Lonchura striata: one gene and its partners. The protein of the gene in region 1 purifies or fractionates together with the protein of each later gene. This does not show direct contact. Links are inferred from orthologs where the notes say so. Each region holds a gene or a part of one and is shown in the gene's direction. Other genes may lie near its edges.

Evidence for each region. The genes of interacting proteins can lie anywhere in the genome.
Region 2: the proteins of KLC1 (region 1) and KIF5C purify together in Homo sapiens (co-immunoprecipitation; 4 studies listed by BioGRID and IntAct, counting the BioPlex papers as one, with this or other methods). This does not show direct contact. The link is inferred for Lonchura striata from reciprocal best matches to the Homo sapiens genes KLC1 and KIF5C.
Region 3: the proteins of KLC1 (region 1) and KIF5B purify together in Homo sapiens (co-immunoprecipitation; 11 studies listed by BioGRID and IntAct, counting the BioPlex papers as one, with this or other methods). This does not show direct contact. The link is inferred for Lonchura striata from reciprocal best matches to the Homo sapiens genes KLC1 and KIF5B.

The regions. Positions count from the first base shown.
Region 1 is NC_134608.1:9,984,724-9,991,571, reverse strand, and holds the start of KLC1 (kinesin light chain 1), read left to right. Parts: upstream 1-3,840; 5' UTR 3,841-4,154; intron 4,155-6,848. UniProt on the Homo sapiens protein: Kinesin is a microtubule-associated force-producing protein that may play a role in organelle transport. The light chain may function in coupling of cargo to the heavy chain or in the modulation of its ATPase activity.
Region 2 is NC_134610.1:2,291,542-2,298,409, reverse strand, and holds the start of KIF5C (kinesin heavy chain), read left to right. Parts: upstream 1-3,861; 5' UTR 3,862-3,911; coding exon 3,912-4,037; intron 4,038-6,868. UniProt on the Homo sapiens protein: Microtubule-associated force-producing protein that may play a role in organelle transport. Has ATPase activity. Involved in synaptic transmission. Mediates dendritic trafficking of mRNAs.
Region 3 is NC_134603.1:142,639,688-142,647,373, reverse strand, and holds the start of KIF5B (kinesin-1 heavy chain), read left to right. Parts: upstream 1-4,679; 5' UTR 4,680-4,891; coding exon 4,892-5,017; intron 5,018-7,686. UniProt on the Homo sapiens protein: Microtubule-dependent motor required for normal distribution of mitochondria and lysosomes. Can induce formation of neurite-like membrane protrusions in non-neuronal cells in a ZFYVE27-dependent manner.

The DNA.
Region 1 (6,848 bases):
AAGCTTATTGACTTGGGAAGCAGGACCATGATCAGTGTTTATTTTACTAAGAATTAATGCCTTGCCTGACAGTAGGTTCCCAATGGTAAGTTCAGGCATTTGACAATGAGTCAAGCAAAGCAAAACACACTCCTTTTACCCCAAAGTGCCTGAATTTTCTCACAAAAAGGTAGCTCTGCATGCAGTAATTGTACATATGAAGAAAAGAGTTGGGCTAAAATTGTGCCTAGGACTGGGTGCTTGACATTTCTGAGTCTTGAGCACTGGTTTTTATGTCTCCTCTTTTCCATAAAGGATGTTCTTGTAGGAAATACAAACTAAAACATATGCAACTGTCAAGTGGTTTTGATGAAAAACCAGCCAGATTGCTGAATCTGGCCTTTCAATATTTATTATTGCCAGGATGCTTTTAAATAGCAGTTTAGCAGCAGTTAAAATTACTCCAATATAGTACTTTATTGTGGCCATATTTCTAAAATTATGTCATAGATTTTATAGACTATAAGATTAGATTAAAAAAAAAAAATCTCTTTGGATGGGAAGATCCTCTAAGACAGAAGGATGTATTTTTTTAGTACAATGGTGTGCTGGTGGCATTTGGCCACTGTCAACCCATCACAAACTGTAAAATAAAATGACCCACACTTCTTAAAGGAAGTGAACCTGAATTTCTTTAGAGGTTTGCCCCATTTCTGAATGTCAGGTAAGCTGACCTCAGTTCACTGTGTGTATTTCTCACACTGTTGCACTTCAAAAACCACAGAGCTTTGTGCTGCATTAGTTGAACTGTTTGCTTTTTGCTCTCCCACTGTGCATTACAAACCTCCCTCTCTCTTCTGGGAGTAGAGGGAAATTGGAATATTGAGACTAAAGAATCCAGCATTGTAAATAATTAGTTTTGGGGTTTTGTTTTGGCATGCACTCAGGAGTCTGCAGAAAACAATGGTGACTTTGCTGGTGATAGGCAAAGGATCATAGGAGTCACCATCCTTGAAGGTGTTTAAGTAAAGATTGGATATGGCACTTAGTGCCATGGTCTAGTTGACATGGTTGTGTTAGGTCATAGGTTGGGCTTGATAATCTCAGAGGTCTTTTCCAACCTAATTGACTCTGTGATTTCATAATATACTAGAGACAGCATATCTCGATAATTTAATCAAAAAATCAGGGCTTGCAGCATAACCAGTTCCTTAAGATAAAATGGAAATGTGGGCAGTGAATAGTTTTTACTGCTAGATGAACCTGGATAATTCTCATGTAGATGAGACAGGAAAAACAAGATCCAAATGAAGAGGAACTCTTTGGATATTTCAGGTCAGGCAGTAGCTTGAGGAAAAATCATCTTCACCAAGTCTCTCCTGTGTCTAGCTTCTGCTGTGTGCCATAAACACAGAGGAGTAAACTGCACTATAGTTCCATTGAGCTAATCAACCTTCCTGCAGGAGAGAGCTTATAGTGTGTGCTGTTTATGTGGGAAATTGCCAGGATGCATATACTTGATTAGCCAGCATATTATGAATCAGGGTCATAGCTGGAGTAGTTGCTTTGTTCAGGGATGCTCATATCCCTGGGGTAAGCAGCTAATTGCAGGAAATCTTTTAAAGAAAATGTGTGATAGGAAGAAAGCAATGAATATTGTTTATTCAAAAGGCAGGAGTGGTTCCTTTGAATCAGTTCTCTTGCATAATTATGTAATTAGGGCATGTTCTATTTTTAATTAAAGCTCTTGCATATTCATGAGAATACTCTGAACCTGTGAACCAATTGGTATAACTCTTTAAAATGTAGTTTCTGTAAGGGAATGCCCTTCAATCTTTTTCCCCCTTTCGTATTACTGTGCAAAGAGATATTTCACACTGTTATAATTAGGTTGTATTGCCTGTTAAAACTAAAATGTGGTTAATTAAACCATTAATATAAAATTGCCAGAGAAAAGTTTTAAATTGAGATGAAGAATACAAGAACTGCTGCTTGGAAATACTTGTATCAAAACTGGGTTTTGCTGGACAGCTGGATCTGTGTAAAATATCAATCAGAGAGTGGAATTCAGTAAGTATACTTTATTTCCCTCAGCTTTTCAAATCCAGCAATGATTCTCTGTATTTACAGTCTGAAGACTATCTATGTTCCCCTAACTTTGCTTTGTTTCTTGTGGGCTTCTGTGACTCTTCCTGTTCTTCTGCCTCTTTGACAACAGCATTAGCTTTGATTCCTCTTCTGACTTCCTGCTTATTCTTAGGAGCCTTGCTTTCTCACCCGACTCTTGTTCTCACATCTATTCTGTAGACTTGCTCAGCATTGTACATGAGGGCAAACATATGCAAGCTCTGCTTTCCTTTAATACTTTAAATATTACCACTTAGGTGAGGCTGCATATTTTGATTTACCACTATACCTCTATGTTCTTCTATTAGGTTATGATTCACACCCTGTACATATTGCAGGTCCCCTTCCACTGAACAATGCTATTCTATTCTATGTGGAGCTCAGGTGATAATGCATCACAATACAACTCTTTCATAAAGTTAGGCTGTCACTAATCCCTGATGATTTACAGTGTACATTTTACAGCTTTGCTATAATTAATGTTTTGAGTGCTTGGTTTTTTTTTTGGGGGGGTCTTTGTTTTTGTTGTATTGTTTGTTTGTTTGGGTTTTTGAATGGTTATTTTAATTTTTTTTCTATCTTATACCTCAGTTCCCTCCATCTTTCCTTTCTGGGCTTAACGTCTAACTAGTGGAACATAACATGAAAATACTGTGGCTGTTCCTTCCTCTCTAGCAAGAGTGGGAATGAAATTGGAAGCTGCAAATAAATAGTTCTTGTGACAAGTGTCACTGAGTTCTCATGGAACTCTTACTTTTCATGTATAAATATGTGTAAGAGCAGGGACCTTTCACTTACTTCCCCGCAGAACAAAGATGAAGGCATTGAAATATATTGGCAACACTCACTGAGCTCTGTGTGGTGGGCAACCTTTAACACAGTACTTCTCCTTCAGCTTATTTCTCTGTGACTCGCTCCATTGAGCCGTTGCAAACTGCGGGGATTTTCAAGCATATTTCATGAAGTCATGGTTGGAAGAGACCCTCATGATTTTCCAGTTCAACCATCTACCCAGCACTGCCCCTGTAACCCCATGACCACTAAACCACATTGCCCAGTGCCACATCCAGGTGCCTCTTATCACCTCTGGGGTGGTGGCTCCACCAGCTCCCCGGGCAACCTATTCCAGAGAATGATGAGGTTCCTCCTGAGCCTCCTCGTCTTGAAACCAAACCAACTCGGGTCCCTCAGCCATTCCCCATAAGACACGTTTTCTAGACATTTCACGAGCCTTGCTGCCCTTTGCTGGACACACTCCAGCACCTCAATGTCCTTTTTAAAGGGCGTGGAAGATTTTCCCAGAGGCATCCAACTGAGATGGGGACATCAGTTTCACGAGTCCTGCAGTTACCATAACCCTGAACTTCTCTCCACGGGAGTAGGTCAAACCAGCGCCAAGAGCACCAGCAGTGGAGCGAAACCGCCCCGGTGTCACCCAGGGCGCCCCGAGGAAACGCCGGGATCTGCTCTGCACTGACATCCACTTGAGGCAAATCCTAGCGAGGTTTAGCGCGGCTGCACTGGCAGCCTCGGGGATGCCCCTGAAGCCCGGAGCTGCGCCGAGCATCCCGCGCGGCGCCGCCGCTCCCGGGCAGGGATGGCGCCGTGAGGGGGGCGCTGGGAGAGAAGGGCGCGCGGGCGCTTGTGGGAGAAGGGGGGCGCCGCCATGTCAGGCGGGGCGGGAGGGAAGGAGGGAGGGGAGCGCGGGGCGGGACCGGGACCGGGGCGGCGGCCGCAGCCGCAGCAGCAGCAGCCGGGGCGGTGGTGGCGGCTGCCGGCAGCTGTCAGCGCCCGCTCCGCCGGCGCCGACCACCGCGGCCCTGCAGCGCCTTGCGGGGAGCACTGGGCGCGCCGTGGTGCTGACTCGCTTCTTTCTCGCCTTCCCTCCCTCTCTCCGCTCCTCTCTCCCCCCAAAAAACCCTTTTCCTTCCTCCCTTTCGCCCGCCCATCGCTGACATCCTCCTCCGGCCGCCTCCCCGCCCCGGGCTGCGCGGCCCCCGCCGCCCCAGCGAGCGCTGCGCACATCGCCCGAGCTGCAGCACCGAGCGGTGAGCGGGGGGAGCCGCAGGGCCGGGACGCGGGGTTTGTGTGTGTGTGTGTGTGCGTGTATGTGTGTATGTGTGTATGTGCGTGTGTGTTTGGGTGCGGGTGCCTGGGGCGTTCAGTTCCCCTCCCTTTTCATCCGCCGCTGCGCAAATAACAAAAGGCTGCGCGGGCCGCCCGGTGCCCCCGCGGCGCCGCCGCTGACAGCCGGCCCCGTCCTTCCGCGCCCAGGGCGGGGTGGCTTTTTGGGGAGGCTGTTTTTGGGCGTTTTGTCAGTTGCGCTCGGCTGCGGGCAGGGGTACGTGCCTGAGGATGGGGATCGGCTCGGCTTTGTCCCCGTTTCCTCTCCCGGCTCCCCTCGGTGCTGCGGCGGGCGCCGCCCTGGGAGGGAGCGGGCAGAGGGCTGGGGAGGCTTCGGCCTGCGGCCCCGGGCGTGCGGCGCTTTGTCTGCGCTCCCCCGGCTCCGCGCTCTGCCGCTGCCAGGTCCGAGCTGCTGGAGGGCGAGGCGAGGACAGGTCTTCTCTGGGCTTTGTACACAGTGACCGGATTTATACATTGTAGGTCACCTGCCTTGCTGTAGTCGGAGGCGATTCATATAGACTTAGGTCTTGCCTGGATTTCTGCACCCTCAGAATAAGGCAAGCATTGGTTAGAAACGCGTTAATCTAGCAAAAATATAGAATTTATTTAATTGATAACTAACTGTATCTTTAGAGCAGAGATTGATTAGAAGGACACTTTAAAACCTTATTCATTTTGCTTTTGTCTTTCTGATATTTCTAAGTAACAAGATGCCGTATTTATAGATCTGCATAGCAGTTGTATGTAATCAGAATAAGGAAAGTTCTTAACACTTATTGAATTCTGTGTTCTAGGCATATTGAAGCACATTTTAATGACCAATGTGGCATCACCTAGTGTAATACTCTTGTGTGGCTTTTGAAGGTGGCTAATCAGTGATGGAGCTCTTAATAAGTTTTTTTTTGTATTAAGTAATTTCCATTAATGGATATGATGTAAAAGTAGTATCAGTACTCAAGATACTGGTCATGAAGTCAGAATACAGACTCAGAAAACAAAACTGACTAGGAAAAAGCAAAAGTCTGTTTTTATAGTTTGATTTGAACAGCAAAATAGTGAGCCAGTGTCATTCATATAACATGCTTTCATGTTTAGACATAATAGAAGAAACTAAACCAGTTAAGATTCAGTTTTAGCTGTGTTGTGCTTGACAAAAGGTTTAACAAAAATTGCTCTGCAAAGTAATTGTCTCTTTCACTTCCACTTTTGCATTTGCTCATCACTTAAATAGGAAACTTATGTACAAAGTGTGTCCATTGGAAGATAAAGAGGAGCTGTTGAGAATTTAGACAGCTTCGCATTTTGATTAAAAAAAAATCCCTACTAAACTGAAAGCAGCACCTTTTCGAGTGCACAGTTGGTTTAAAACTCTTTTGGAAGATAGCTTTATTTTAATTGAGTATGAATTCCAAAGCTTCAGCGAAACATGATAGAGGATGTTATAACCCTAGGATTACAGATACAATTGGAAGTTACACATTCAGCATTTACTGGCAGCAGAGAGAAAGCTGATCCATCTGGTGAGGCTGAGCAGAAGACCTTGTAAGTCACTTGCGCAATTATTTTTGTGACCACATGGTTCAGGAGGACCTTTTCCATGAAATTAGAACAGCTATGGAGAATTCTGGCAGCTCCATTTAGGTAGACATTTCACATAATGGAGAAGCATGTGGGCAAGTGCAGGAAATTTAAATTGTCTGTTCCTGAAACTGGCTCATCAATGCAGTATCACTTCTGCATCATGTTGCAGTTCAAGTTTGGCAGCCTTCATGTTTCTGAAGGATGATGATGGAGCTGAAGAATTCCAGTAGTCAGAAATTCTAACAGCAATTAGTGCACAGATTCCCTTTACTTGCTACCATATATAATTAAAACAGAGAATAAAGTTACCCCCCAAAGGCCCTGTGAAGTAGCCTCATGGTTTGTCAAATTCCTATTATATGGTTAATAATGCCTTATTAATGGAATGGATTATTTTAAAAGGTCTCTAATATACAACAGAGGACTCACATACATAATTTGTAATTAAATGTGCAGGAGTCCCAAGCACAATCTGAATGTTTTTGACATAGAACAAAATACACTGGACAGATGTTTAAGGCATATAAGGACAATTGCTGCTTCCTGTGTTTATGGAGAACTTGCCATGCTAATGTCAGAGACCTCTCACTCATGTGCTGCTCATACAGTACACATATCTCTCTCTCTCTCTGTATCTTTTTGTGTATGCATACATATCTGCATATGTCTCCTATTTAATTGGGGGTTTGGGGAAATAATGTAGCCTTATATTCAGTTCTGAGTCCATTTAATGTAGCTTCTGTTTCTCTTGAAATGTGGGCTTGTGCAGTTACTCTTTCATCTCTTCTTCTGTTTGACTTCTCTGGGAGACGTGCAATTGAATTTACTCTGGGATTAACAGCATCTCTCCAGCTGCATAGCTCATGATTATTTTAAAACTCAATTCAGTGTACAAATACTTGTCAAATAAAGTTTCCGTAAGCGGAGTAAAAAATACAGAAATTTGGGTAAATTCATAAATAAGCAAAGTGTACTTTTGTATTCACTGTTGAAGTGCAGCATCACGGACAGTGATGGGGACAAGCATGCTAAGTCTA
Region 2 (6,868 bases), on another chromosome or scaffold:
CCAGCCTCTGCTCTGGGGCAGCCTTGACAAAGCATCACCCCCATTTCTGTGGGATCACCTCTGTCACTGTCCCTGTCCTGCTTTGTCACCTGTCCCCTCCCTGGTTTTCCTGCAGCCTCAACACCTTGGCTCCCCTGGAGAGAAATGGAATTTTCTCATTCCTTTATGATCCCAGTCCTCGAGGAGGAAGGGATTTGTTATTCCTTTATTATTCCCATTCATTATTCTGATATCTTGGGATGTTTACCGAGCTGAAGTTGGCTCAGCTGGGGAATTTCTTCAGGAAAAATCAGAAGTTGCTGTCAAACCATATCTGGTCTGCCAGGGTGAGCTAAACTGGGGAGCTGGGAAAGGGGGAACAGGAGAGAAAACCCAGGTTCTCTTTTTGTGGTGCTGGAAGGAAGGCAATTTTCATATGTTCAGGTGTAAGTAAGCTCAGCAAAACGTGTATCTAAGTGGATTTCTTGCAAGTGTACAGCTGAAAAAATGACATGGTTTGAGAGGTGAAAGAAACGAATGAAGGTGAAAACAATGAAGTATTTAAGCTCTGCTTTTCTGTATTTTCATGGTTTTTATAAAGCAGGTTCCCACCAAACTGTCCATCCCACCTTCAGGCACCCAGCCCTGCCTGGGAGAAGCTCACAGACCCAGGGAGGCGCTGATCACCCCCAAATCTGGCTGAAAATTCACATTCCTACCAGGCTGCTTCACCTAATCTGGTGATAAGTAGTAAAAATAGATCCAGCTGGGTGACAATTCAGTATTGTCTGCGCTCCAGACAATGTCACGTTGTATGTGACAAAGCTGCTGGGAAAAGATGGCTCTCTGCATTCTTCTGATGGCAGATTATACCTGCTCCGAGAGAAAAATCGAGTTTTGCTTATCTCACTCCAAAATGAGCTCTCCATAATGGAGGAAAATAAGGATTAATTCACCCAAAGACTTGTCTTTTATGACTAAGCCCCTGCTTGTCATGACTAACAAATTTGCTATTCAGGGTAAAAGCTTGAAACATAAGAGAAATAAAAGGGATAATTGGTAATCCACGGGAATAAATCCCATTATGTAATAATGGCTTATCACATGCTGCACATTGCTAACTCTCCCCCATGGAATTGATTTTAAGAAGGGCGTGAGAGGCTTTGTGGCCAGCCTGCTCCTCACATCCACCTCAGGTAATGACTGCAAAAAAAAGGGAGATTTCCATCAAAATGCTGCAGGGTTGTCCACCCTCATCTTAATTTCACAGCTGAGGGTGGTTGAATGAAACTCTGGTGGAAACCAGGGCCAGCAGCTTCCAAGAAGGCATCATGGATGTTTGGGTTCTTTTTAAGCAGGAGATTCTTGTCGGGAGAGACTGATGGAGGAGGAGGAGGAAATTCCTGTGGTATTTCAGAGTGTTCCAAACCATGAACGAGGCAGGAGGGAGAGCTGCAGGTGATTGCAGCAGGTAAGGAAGGAGCGTTTTTAGGGGAGGAGGACGAGCACAGCCTCCCTGGAGAGGAGCAGGAGGCTCCCTTCCCATTTCCTTTCCCTTTCCTTTCCTTTCCTTTCCTTTCCTTTCCTTTCCTTTCCTTTCCTTTCCTTTCCTTTCCTTTCCTTTCCTTTCCTTTCCTTTCCTTTCCTTTCCTTTCCTTTCCTTTCCTTTCCTTTCCTTTCCTTTCCTTTCCTTTCCTTTCCTTTCCTTTCCTTTCCTTTCCTTTCCTTTCCTTTCCTTTCCTTTCCTTTCCTTCTTTCCCTCCTTTTTCTTTTTTTTTCCTTTCCCTTTTCCTTTTCCTGAATACCATCCACCCTGGAAACCCCGAGGAGCACCCAGAGCCTGCATTTTGTGATCTGCAGCATCCGTCCCCAGTGCCCAGAGCAATCCCCAGCGACCACTCCCAGGAAAGTCTGGATTTGTCACCTTTTCAGAGTGGTGAAGGAGTTTTGTTGTCATCTGGTGTTGTTATTTTCTTTGGTGCTGGGGGTGCTTTGTTTGTGAAATAAACAGGTTCTTTTCCACTTCTCTCAGAGGAAATTTTTTTCCCGAACCAGGTGGGTGGGGAGGGGCCGTGGGGATTTGTTTCCTGAGGGCTCCTTCCAGAGGGTTTTCCCCAAATTTGCCCTAAACTAGGCACCAGAGGCACCACTGCTCCTGCTGCTCCTCCCAGAGCGACATCCCAGGAAAAACATCCTTTAACCTGGATCCAGCTGGGGCAGAGGGAGAAAGATGCTGAGGGGAGACACCAAGGGCAGCTTGGAGCTTGGAGAGGGGGGCTTGGGTGGGGGTTCACGGGCAGGTTTTTGGTTTAGCTCGGTCTGTGGTGCTTTATTTAATATATATTTATTATATATATGATATTATGTATGAATGTTTCATATTGGAGCAAATTCAGAGGGTCACCACGAAGCTGATGTGGAAACTAGAGCACCTTCCCTAGGAGAGGTTGGGAATGCTGGGGAGAAGGTTGTGTGAGGAAGGTTGTGTGAGGAAGGTTGAGTGTGTGGGGAAGGTTGTGTGGGGAAGGTTGAGTGGTGAAGGTTGTGTGGAGAGCCCACAGCAGCTTCCAGCATCTGGAAGAAGCTGGAGAGAGACTCGGGGAAATTTAGTTCAGAGAAATGGAAGAAATCCTTTGCTGTGAGGGTGTGGAGACCCTGGCAGAGATTGTCCAGAACAGCTGTGGCTGCCCCTGGATCCCTGGAAATACCCAGGATAGGCTGGATGGGGCTTGGAGCAACGTGGGAGAATTGAAGGTGTCCTTGGGGACACTGGAAGGTGTCTCAGGGGACAGTGGAGGTGTCCCTGGAGTGATGGAAGGTGTCCCTGGGGCAGTGGAGGTGGCCCTGAGACACTGGAAGGTGTCCCTGGAGGCAGTGGAAGTGTCCCTGGAGTGATGGAAGGTGTCCCAGGGACACTGGAAGGTGTCCCTGGAGTGATGGAAGGTGTCCCAGGGACACTGGAAGGTGTCCCAGGGGACAGTGGAGGTGTCCCTGGAGTGATGGAAGGTGTCCCAGGGGACAGTGGAGGTGTCCCTGAGACACTGGAAGGTGTCCCAGGGACACTGGAAGGTGTCTCAGGGGACAGTGGAGGTGTCCCTGGAGTGATGGAAGGTGTCCCTGGAGTGATGGAAGGTGTCCCAGGGGACAGTGGAGGTGTCCCTGGAGTGATGGAAGGTGTCTCAGGGGACAGTGGAGGTGTCCCTGGAGTGATGGAAGGTGTCCCTGGAGTGATGGAAGGTGTCCCAGGGGACAGTGGAGGTGTCCCTGGAGTGATGGAAGGTGTCTCAGGGGACAGTGGAGGTGTCCCTGGGACACTGGAAGGTGTCCCAGGGGACAGTGGAGGTGTCCCTGGAGTGATGGAAGGTGTCTCAGGGGACAGTGGAGGTGTCCCTGGAGTGATGGAAGGTGTCCCAGGGGACAGTGGAGGTGTCCCTGGAGTGATGGAAGGTGTCTCAGGGGACAGTGGAGGTGTCCCTGGGACACTGGAAGGTGTCCCAGGGGACAGTGGAGGTGTCCCTGGAGTGATGGAAGGTGTCTCAGGGGACAGTGGAGGTGTCCCTGGAGTGATGGAAGGTGTCCCAGGGGACAGTGGAGGTGTCCCTGGAGTGATGGAAGGTGTCCCAGGGGACAGTAGAAGTGTCCCTGGAGTGATGGAAGGTGCCCCGAGCAGAATGAGCTGTCCCTGGGCGCTGGGAGGGGCGGCCCCGGGGTCACTCCGGGGCGGCTCCGCGCATCCCCGCGGGTCTGCGGGACGGCCCGGGGCGTGTCCGGGCTGCGAGCACCGCCCGGGCTGCGAGCCCCGGCCCCGCCCGGCGGTCCCGGTCCAGCCCCGGTCCAGCCCCGGTCCCGCCCCGCCCGGTGGTCCCCGCCCCGCCCCGGTCCCGCCCGCCGCCGCCGCCGCTGCCCCGCGCAGCGCCGGGCCCGCCGCCGCCATGGCGGACCCCGCCGAGTGCAGCATCAAGGTGATGTGCCGCTTCCGGCCCCTCAACGAGGCCGAGATCCTGCGCGGCGACAAATTCATCCCCAAATTCAAGGGCGACGAGACCGTGGTCATCGGGGTGAGTCTGCCGCATCCCGCATCCCGCATCCCGCGCGGGCGGGGCGAGCGTCCCTCCTCTCGGGGCGAGCATCACCCCCCGAGCGCTCCCGGCGGGTCCCCCCTATTCCCTCCATGCCCTCCATCCCCTCCAACCTCCATCCCCCCCATCGCCTCCATCCCCCCCATCGCCTCCATCCCTCCATCCCCTCCATCCCCCCAATCCCTCCATCCCTCCATCCCTCCATCCCCTCCATCCCCCCAATCCCTCCATCCCCTCCAACCTCCATTCCCCCCATCCTCTCCATCCCCTCCATCCCCTCCATCCCTCTATCCCTCCATCCCCTCCATCCCCCAATCCCTCCATCCCCTCCATCCCTCCATTCCCCTCCATCCCTCCATCCCTCCATCCCTCCATCCCTCCATCCCCCCACCCTCTCCATCCCTCCATCCCTCCATTGTTGCCGCAGCCGCGGAGCGGGATGGGGGCGGCGGCGCTGCCCGCGTCCCCCCGTCCGGGCTGTCCCCGACCCACCGGGCGAGCGGCCCGGGGGTCCCCGCGGGTGCCGGGGGTCCCGGGGGTCCGGGGGGCGCGGGGGAGCCGCGGGCTCGGGCGCTGATGTCATGTCGGGGACTGGGCATGCTCGACTGGGGCGGCCGCCCGCGCCTCCGCCGCGCCCCTGCGGCAGCGCCGGCACCGGAGCCGCATCCCGGGATCCCCATCCCGGGATCCCCATCCTCATCCCGGGATCCCCATCCCGGGATCCCCATCCCCATCCCGGAATCCCCATCCCCATCCTCGATTCCCCATCCTCATCCCCATCCCGGGATCCCCATCCCGGGATCCGCATCCTCATCCCGGGATCCCCATCCCGGGATCCCCATCCCCATCCCGGAATCCCCATCCCCATCCTCGATTCCCCATCCTCATCCCCATCCCGGGATCCCCATCCCGGGATCCGCATCCTCATCCCGGGATCCGCATCCTCATCCCGGGATCCCCATCCCCATCCCGGGATCCCCATCCCCATCCCGGGATCCCCATCCCCATCCTCGATTCCCCATCCTCATCCCCATCCCGGGATCCCCATCCCCATCCCGGGATCCCCATCCCCATCCCGGATTCCCCATCCCCATCCCGGGATCCCCATCCCGGGATCCTCATCCTCATCCCGAGATCTTCATCCTCATCCCCATCCCGGGATCCCCATCCTCATCCCGGAATCCCCATCCTCATCCCCATCCCGGGATCCCCATCCTCATCCTGGAATCCTCATCCCGGGATCCTCATCCCCATCCCGGGATCCCCATCCCCATCCCCATCCCCATCCCGGATCCCCATCCCCACCCCGGCATCCCCGTGCCCGGCAGCCCCGCGGAGCGCTGAGCAGCGCTGCGGGATGCCGCCCGAGTTTTTTTTTTTTTTTTTTTTAAATTTCCGCGTTTAAAACGATGAAATGGACCCAAATCGCCTCCACCCCCCATCCCCGCCCGGCCCTGCGCGCCCCCCGCGCTCTGCTGGGGCTCGGCTGCTCCAGGGCTTTCATGGGAACAAAGGCTCGGGATGCGGCTCCTTCCCAGCCCAGCAGCTTCCCTCTCCCTTTCCCCCTTCCCTCTCTCCCTCTCCTTTTCCCTCTCCTTTTCTCTCTCCCTCTCCCATTTCCCTCTCCTTTTCCCTCTCCTTTTCTCTCTCCCTCTCCCATTTCCCTCTCCCTTTCCCCCTTCCCTCTCTCCCTCTCCTTTTCCCTCTCCTTTTCTCTCTCCCTCTCCCATTTCCCTCTCCCTTTCCCTCTCCCATTTCCCTCTCCCTCTCCTTTTCCCTCTCCCTCTCCTTTTCCCTCTCCTTTTCCCTCTCCTTTCCCCTCTCCTTCTCCTTTCCCCTCTCCCTCTCCTTTTCCCTCTCCCTCTCCTTTTCTCTCTCCCTTTCCCTCTCCCATTTCCCTCTCCCTCTCATTTTCCCTCTCCCTCTCATTTTCCCTCTCCCATTTCCCTCTCCTATTTCCCTCTCCCTTTCCCCTTGCCCTCTCCATTTTCCCATTCCCTCTCCTTTCCCTCTCCTGGAGCAGGTCCCTCAGAGGGCAGCGCTCAGAACCCCCAGTGCCACTTTGGGTGGGGGTTCACGGTCAGATTTTTGGTTTAGCCTGGTCTGTGGTGCTTTATTTCATATATATTTATTATATATATTATATGATATATAAATATTTCATATGCTGGTCATCTGTGACATCTATTTCATATGCTGGTCATCAATAACATGTTCTCTGCTGTATGGTGATGAAAAGACCCTACAATTAATTGCCAGCACAGCTCCTTGCACAATTTGTTAAAATCCTTAACCAGAACCTTGAGGTCATCAGAAACTTTGCTGGTGAAAGTTGCAGAACAGCCGTGAGGGGAGGGAAAAAAAAAAAGTGTGAATTATGAGCATAAACAGCTTGTGGTTGTTATTTTCTTTTAATATGAAATGCCCTCTTGTCCTGCCAAATTAATTGTCTTTCTGTGAAGGTTAAAGCTGTGGCACCCCCAGCAGCCTGTTAACAATAGAATAATCAAATTGGTTATCAATCTTGGGCAGCAGCAGAGGGCTGGATTTGGCCAGCAGATATTGGGAGGGAAAATGTCTCTGTGCCATTGTGATGTTTAAGAAACAAATGTCAGCGAGCTCCCCTCCCCCTAAATCAATAAACCCTCAGACATATTAAAAGCAGATTAAAATGCAGCTCCTGTAAATCCTTTACAGCGTTTTGAAGAGAATCGGAGTTTAGAATTCTCTTTTCCCCACTCATAATGTGTCTTTGTCTATAAAATATCTGTTGGCTGGGAAAACAGTAACTGTGATGGTTTGGAAAAGGA
Region 3 (7,686 bases), on another chromosome or scaffold:
CTTTAATTTGCTTCTCCACAAACACCCGGTTTAAAGATTTATTCAAATATGTAATGTTCTTTTAAAACCAAATCAAGATCACTTTTGCTCTGCTAGAACAATTTCGATGGTTAATTACATAATTATCCCGATATAGCTTCCCTGTAAGGCTTAGGTTTGCCAATTTGCTTTGCTTTGCAGGTTTTTATTGCTGGGAAAGACTGAAGATCTGAAAGAGCCATAAGTCATAAAAGAATTTGCAGAGGTTTATTGCACAGTTCATAAATGGAAAGAAACATGGTTAGTGAACTAACAACACAAATTCCTCACATAAATTGCTTTAATAAAACATGTTAGTCTTTACTAAGAAATTTTACTAAACTTATTGTCAGCTACAACTGAGATATAGATTTTTTTTCTCATTATATTACTTTTAAAGATAGTCTCTTATCCTAAGTGTCAAAAAATGTATGCTATAGACATTACATAACAACATAGAAGACAGCAAATATATTCTTAATTGGCAAAGAAAGTGCATTCTGTTATTACCACAAAATGGGAAACTTTCCAGGATGCTTGGTCTCTGCCATGTTCTCAGGAGACCACATCTTTAAACACAAGTCCTCAAGGCTGCTCTTCTGACACATCTTGGCGCCAGTAGAGATAACACAGTGCCCTCTTTGAGCACACGGCTTTGTTGTGTCAGCCTTTAAGTAGGTCATGCCAAGGAGCAGTTGCTATTTTGAACAGATCAGAGAAGAGAAACTTCATGGCAGTCCCTGACAGGGATCTGAGAGCACACGAGTGGTTCAGCAGAGCACCTTCACCAAGAGCTCCCACAGCTGGGATGGGACACCATCAGCCTCTTCTCCTATGGGCTCACACAGGACAGCTTCAGAGTGGCCAGTTCCTACTACAGAGTTCACACATGCTGACATCTTTTGTTTCAACATAGTTAAAACGAATCATTATCTACTCATGTGTCTGTGTTGTCCTTGTGGAATGTCTGCTCTGTCAAACATTCAACAGGTAGGTAAGCAAGGCCAAGCACCTATTTTCTTGACAATCATGTAATCACGAGGTTTCTTTTTTGACTGAGATGTTCTAACATCGGGCACTACATGTCAGTAAATGCAGATAAAGGTACATTCCTTCTGCTTACGGATAACAAGAACTAGAAGTTTCTTCAATACATTAGGGGAAATGATATTCAGCAGGTGAAATGTACTTCTGTGAGTAATAATCACAAAGTTGTTTATTATGCAGCTAATATTGCTTTTTCCTGATGTACAGAAGTAAATTAATTTAAAAAGTAGTAAATATTCAGGTTCCTTTCATAAAAATAATAACCTTCTGTCACAGGAAATCTTTGATGATTCAAATCCTACAGCTGCATAAGAATATTGCTAGCCATAAGCTTGTGAATAATCCCAGAAATAGATGAGATAGAAGCATTAATACATCTTGCTGCTTGAGATACAATGTAATAATATCTAACATAGCAACCAACTAAAACAGGTTTTCTGACATGTAAAACCTAGTAACAATTATGTTTAAAGCATTTTATTGAAATCTGTAGACAGATGTCTGTGTATATCTCATATGCTAGATGTTGTGGACTAGCACTGCACCTTCTACAGACTGAGCTTATATCTTGCTTTTTCCAGACAACTATTTCCACATGTGCTCATAGGTGTGGACACATCATTGTTGCTGCCCTGAATAAGACAGCACAGTCCCGCTGCATTTTTAATCACAGTGGAAAAATAAACTTGTTACAACATGAACTCAGTTTAGAAGACATAGCTTACCTCATAAGATAAACTAAGCACAGAAATATTTTTTGCATTACTCTGTGAAAAGAACCTATAAGTGCAACTAGATTATTAGGTTATTTTTCTGTCATGTGGAGCAGTTTTGAAGTGTTTGCCTTGCACACCTATCCTAAGTAAAAACACATCACTAAAATCCCTAAACTGAACATCACTAAAATCCCTAAACTGAGAAGTCTTAAAAATGGGGGATGGCTGATTACAGATGGTCCCTGTTAAAATTTACAGTAGTTTCTCCTTTTTTATAATGAAAAATGAGTATTTTTAAGTACACTTAAAACTGCTCTTCTGAGTAATTCTGGCTTACTAAAATACACTAACTTAAGAGAAAGGCTCCCTATTCTTTTTCCATTTTTAAAAATTAACTTCAAGGCTATTTGAAAAATTACCAGTACAAATTATGATTTCTGTCAAGAAACTGGCTGAACTCAGCCAAGCTGTGAGTTTGTACTCTGTTCCAATCTGAAAGTTCATGCTTGGATGAAAGAGGCACAGTTGTAAAAGTGTGAGATTTTTGGGGCTCTCTGTTAGAATTGTTTACCTGATGCTTTTGTCTAGATACAGTCCCTAAGTTTTGGTCAACTACATTTAGAGCCCCTATAATAAATATGTAAACAAAACTTGCAATAAATTAAGCTTAAAAAAATTCCTGTCCAGATTTTCTTTTTTTTTTTCATTTGGGGTGAAAAAGTGGTGAGAGTCTCCATCCTGGGGGCGACATAATGAGCTGTGAGCTGTGTGTGTTCTGATCCCACTCGCTGGGTTCCTGCTCCAGGATGCACACAGGCAACGAAGCTCATGGGCACACTGGCATCTGTGAACACCTCATGGGTGGGAATTTTCTCTCTTTTAGCTAAAAGAGGAAAAGAAATGTAAACAAACAAACTAAAAAACCCCAAATATCATAGGTTCCTATCTCAACCACCTGCTTTAAGCCTTTACCTCACACTCAGCCCCTAAGGTTTATCACACATACACTGCTGTCCCCAGCAGTGCCATGCCCTGCTGGGGTATGTCTGACCTGTCCAACACCAGCTGCCAGCGGAGCTGAGGTGGCAATGCAGATCGGTGTCTGACATGGCCATGTCACCTGTCCAACACCAGCCACCAGCGGAGCTGACGGAGCTGAGGTGGCAATGCAGATCGGTGTCCGACATGGCCATGTCACCTGTCTGACACCAGCTGCCAGCAGAGCTGAGGTGGCAATGCAGATCAGTGTCCGACATGGCCATGTCACCTGTCCGACACCAGCTGCCAGCGGAGCTGAGGTGGCAATGCAGATCAGTGTCCGACATGGCCATGTCACCTGTCCGACACCAGCTGCCAGCAGAGCTGAGGTGGCAGCACAGATTGGTGTCCAGCATGGCCATGTCACCTGTCCGACACCAGCCGCCAGCGGAGCTGAGGTGGCAATGCAGATCAGTGTCCGACATGGCCATGTCACCTGTCCGACACCAGCTGCCAGCAGAGCTGAGGTGGCAATGCAGATCAGTGTCCGACATGGCCATGTCACCTGTCCGACACCAGCTGCCAGCAGAGCTGAGGTGGCAATGCGGATCTGTGCCCCACATGGCCATGTCACCTGTCCGACACCAGCCACCAGCGGAGCTGAGGTGGCAATGCGGATCTGTGCCCCACATGGCCATGTCACCTGTCCGACACCAGCTGCCAGCGGAGCTGAGGTGGCAATGCGGATCTGTGCCCCACATGGCCATGTCACCTGTCCAACACCAGCCACCAGCGAAGCTGAGGTGGCAATGCAGATCAGTGTCCGACATGGCCATGTCACCTGTCCGACACCAGCTGCCAGCGGAGCTGAGGTGGCAATGCGGATCTGTGCCCCACATGGCCATGTCACCTGTCCGACACCAGCCACCAGCGGAGCTGAGGTGGCAATGCGGATCTGTGCCCCACATGGCCATGTCACCTGTCTGACACCAGCTGCCAGCGGAGCTGAGGTGGCAGTGCAGATCGGTGCCCGACATGGCCATGTCACCTGTCTGACACCAGCTGCCAGCGGAGCTGAGGTGGCAGTGCAGATCGGTGCCCGACACTCCTCACTAGGGCGGCAGCGGCCTCATCCCTGCAGCCCTCTGCCCATCACCTGCCTGAGGGAGCTGGGGGTGATTAGCCTTCAGAAAAGGAGGCTCAGGCGTGATGTTTTTGCTCTCTAAAACTGCCTGAAAGGAGGCTGCAGCCAGGTGGGGGTCAGCCTCTTTTCCCAGGCAACCAGCAACAGGGCCACAGGACTTAGCCTTAAGATGGCCCAAGGGAGGTTCAGGTTACACAAAAATAATTGTTAGACATTTGAATGGGCTGCTCAAGGAGGCTGTGGTGGCTGTCCCTGGATGTATTTAAGACTGGATGTGGCATTTAGTTGATATACATTGTACTGGATGACCTCAGGGCTTTTCCAGCCTGATTCTGTGTGGATGATGCCAGGCTGTGCAGGAACGTGGAGGAGTCACCATTCCTGGAGGAGTTTAAGAGGCATCTGGACTGGCGCTGGGTGATATGGTTTGGTGCTTTAGGGGCCACAGGTAGTGCTGTGTTGACAGTTGGACTTGATGACCTTAAGTGTCTCTTCCAACCTTGATGGTTCCATGATTCCATGATTCTATAATTCTATGATCCGATGAGTTTACGGCCCCATGACCCCAGCGGCACCGCGACTCCAGGCGCTGCCATGGCGCCCCGCCCGCCTGAGGCAACCCCGCCCCTGCCCGCGCCCTCGGCGGCCCCGCGGGCACCGCCCCGCCCGGGGGCGGAGCCGCGCCTGCGCACAGGGCGGGGCTGGGGCGGGGCTGGTGCTGCGGTGGGTGACGTCACCGCCCGCCCCTCCGGCGGGGCGGGGCGGGAGCCGCGGCCGCAGCCGCCATGGCCGGTGCCATGTTGGGGAGGAAGTGAGAGCGGGAGGCGGCGGCGGCGGCCAGGAAGGAGCCCTTCCCTTTTCCCTCCTGCCGGGGCGGGCGCGGCTTTCCCGGCCACGGCGGCTTGCGAGACCCCCCCGGTGCGGGCGGTGCGGCGGCGGCAGCTGGCGGCGGCGGAGCTGAGCGCCCCGGAGGCGGCGGCGGCCTAAGATGGCGGACCCGGCGGAGTGTAACATCAAAGTGATGTGTCGCTTCAGGCCCCTCAACGAGTCCGAAGTGGCCCGAGGCGACAAGTACATCGCTAAGTTCCAGGGCGAGGACACCGTCGTCATCGCGGTGAGGGCCCGCCCGGGCGGGAGAGGCGGGAAGCGCCGGGGGAGGGAGGGAGGGAGGGAGGGGGCGGCCGGGGTCGGCGGGGTCACGCCGCGGGGATGGGCGCGCTGTGGGGCGGGAGGGCTCGGAGCGCCCGCGGGCGGGGACCCTCGGGGCGGGGAGCGGCCTCCTTGGAGACCGAGGCGAAGGGGAAAGGGGGCAGGGACGGCTGCGGGCGGGGTGAGCCGGTCCGGGTATGGGGGGCGGTGGGGCAGGTCGGGAGACCTTTGACAAAGGCGCAAGTGCCGAGGTGCGGAGTGAGGGCGAGTCCCGCAGTGTCCGCCGGCCGGGCGCTGCCCGGGCCGGCCGGCCGTGCTGTGAGATGCTAAATGCACGCGTGGGGGCTGCCGCCCGATCGCTGTCTGCGGAGAGTTTGGGCAAGAAATGCGGAACGGCAGTGCAGGCTCCAGAGCTGTACATCGGTCTTCAGCTGATAGCTTCTTTTTTGTTGTTGTTAAATCAGAATAAACAGACCATTTGCCTTACTGCATGTTCCTAAGTGTATTTTAAGTGGAGTCTCCTTGCAAGGTCTCCTGTTAAAAACATTATGGATGTTGTAGGGGAAAAGATAATCCTTTCCTTTTTCTCCAGTGAATCATAGCTAGCTACAAAGTGGAGCTAGAATATAAAAATAAAGTGCAGTTGTTTGTTGCCTGGTTTGGTTGATGTTGTACAAACACACTTTAGCCCCAATGTTTGTTTTGTTTTTGTTAACTTTTAATTTGTGTTTTCGTGTAAATATATTTCATGAGAAACTGCTGATTCTTGCTGAAAGTAACTTAGAGACCAGTTATCTGTCTAAAAATTTTAGGGGTTTATGTTTTGTTTTTTGAGGCTACCAATAATAGCTTTTTTTGCACAGTATCTGAAGCTGCAGGAAGCAATAGAGGCAATTTAATAAAATACTTTTTTTGTAATAGGATTTACTAAATACTAGTGCTTTAGTCTGATAATATTCAGCTGAATTTGCCAATAAAATATGGAATTCCATGAGTCTGGAGTGACAAGAACAATAGCATTCTTGTGAAATGAGGTAATTTGGGTTTATTTCAGCTGGCAACTTACTATCTTGGAGTACATCACTTCTTCCTGAGGTTGTACAGGTAAACTCAGAGGAAGGAAGCAATCCTGGAAAATGGAAAATATAACTTGAGTGAATAATCTCACTTTCATCAGTAAATACCCATTCATTGTGACACTGCATAGTCTGTTTATAATCCACAGTTCATTGTAGAAACCCTAATGTGTTCTAACTTAAAAATAAATTTTCTTCAGTAGCCCTCGTATAAATGAAAGCTTATATTTCTAAAATATTCTTTAGGTGCATTTTTAAAATATCTAAAATGTAGAGGTAAATAAATATCTGAATATCTAAAATGTGCAGAGGTAGTTCTGTATCTGAGTAGAACAATTTGACATTATGTTCCTGAGGGATCAGGTGGGCTTTCTGTTCAGAATTGATGTTTAGTGTTGCCAGCTGTACCTTGGTGATTTCACCTTGGAAAAAATCACAACAGATTTCCTAGTTGTCCTGGATCCAGGACTTGCCATGTCTAACTTGGGGGAAGATGCCCCCAAAATTATTAAATGGGGTAGCAGTGACAGTATTTGTGTCTTGTTTCACAAAATTTGAATAAAGGTTTGATAATCTCTGATTTTGTATTTGTATAATGATGGCTATAGGACAAGATTGATATACTCAAAATTTTGACTTGAATCTCTAAAACTGTTGACAATAACTTGTGTTTGGTGCTTTTGTTTTCAATAGCTTGAGTGAGTTTTTACAAATTTAGAGAGCCTCTAACCTGGGCCTGTAGTCAGGCACCACTTCTTTCTGTGTGTTGCAGAATTGCCCAAGGGAGGATAACAGAAGCAGTGCTCCTGAAACAGTGTCTGAAAGGCTTCCTCCATAAGCTGTGTGTGTGGTTACCTCAGCTCTTTGGTTTCTGCCCTTGTTGCTGCCTGTTGAGCAGTAATTGAGCCACTTTTGGTTTTTTATAGCTGCTTCCCTCAGCTGCCTGAAGGACTTGCACCTCCCGTGGGTGCCTGGCTCGGGGCTGGAGCAGTGGAGGCTGCCTTAATAATCCTGGGAGTTGCCTGTGATGGTCGATGGGAGGGGAAGACTGGGAGGCAGCAGAGCTGATCCCAGGCTGCAGGTTTGACTCCTCTGGAGGAGGGTGGGGAGGAAAATCAGTGACTATAGCCAAACCCTCCTCCTTCCTTGATTCCCCTGTCATCTCTGAGCTAGCTGTCTTCCCTTCTTTTCCTAGCTCCTGCAAAATTAATGTCATCTTTGTCTTTCTGGACAAGTGAGTCATTTTGATCTGTGTTAGATAAAATAAAAGTTTTAACTGTAGCTAGTGTGTAACAGCAGTTTTAGGGGACATAATGGTGTTGGTCTGCTTTAAAGAGCAGATTCTGAAACACAGTATTTTCTTTCCACAGGATGAAACTTTTTAACTAGTAAAGGGCTTTTAATTTTTTAATTGCAGGTGACTTCTTTCTATCTCAATAGTATATTAATTATTTTTTCCTAATGGCTTCTTCTGTTAATTAAATACAAGGATTTTGTTAAAACAGATTACTCATTATATGACTTTTATGTTAAACATTAGAAATGTACCTGTATGTGA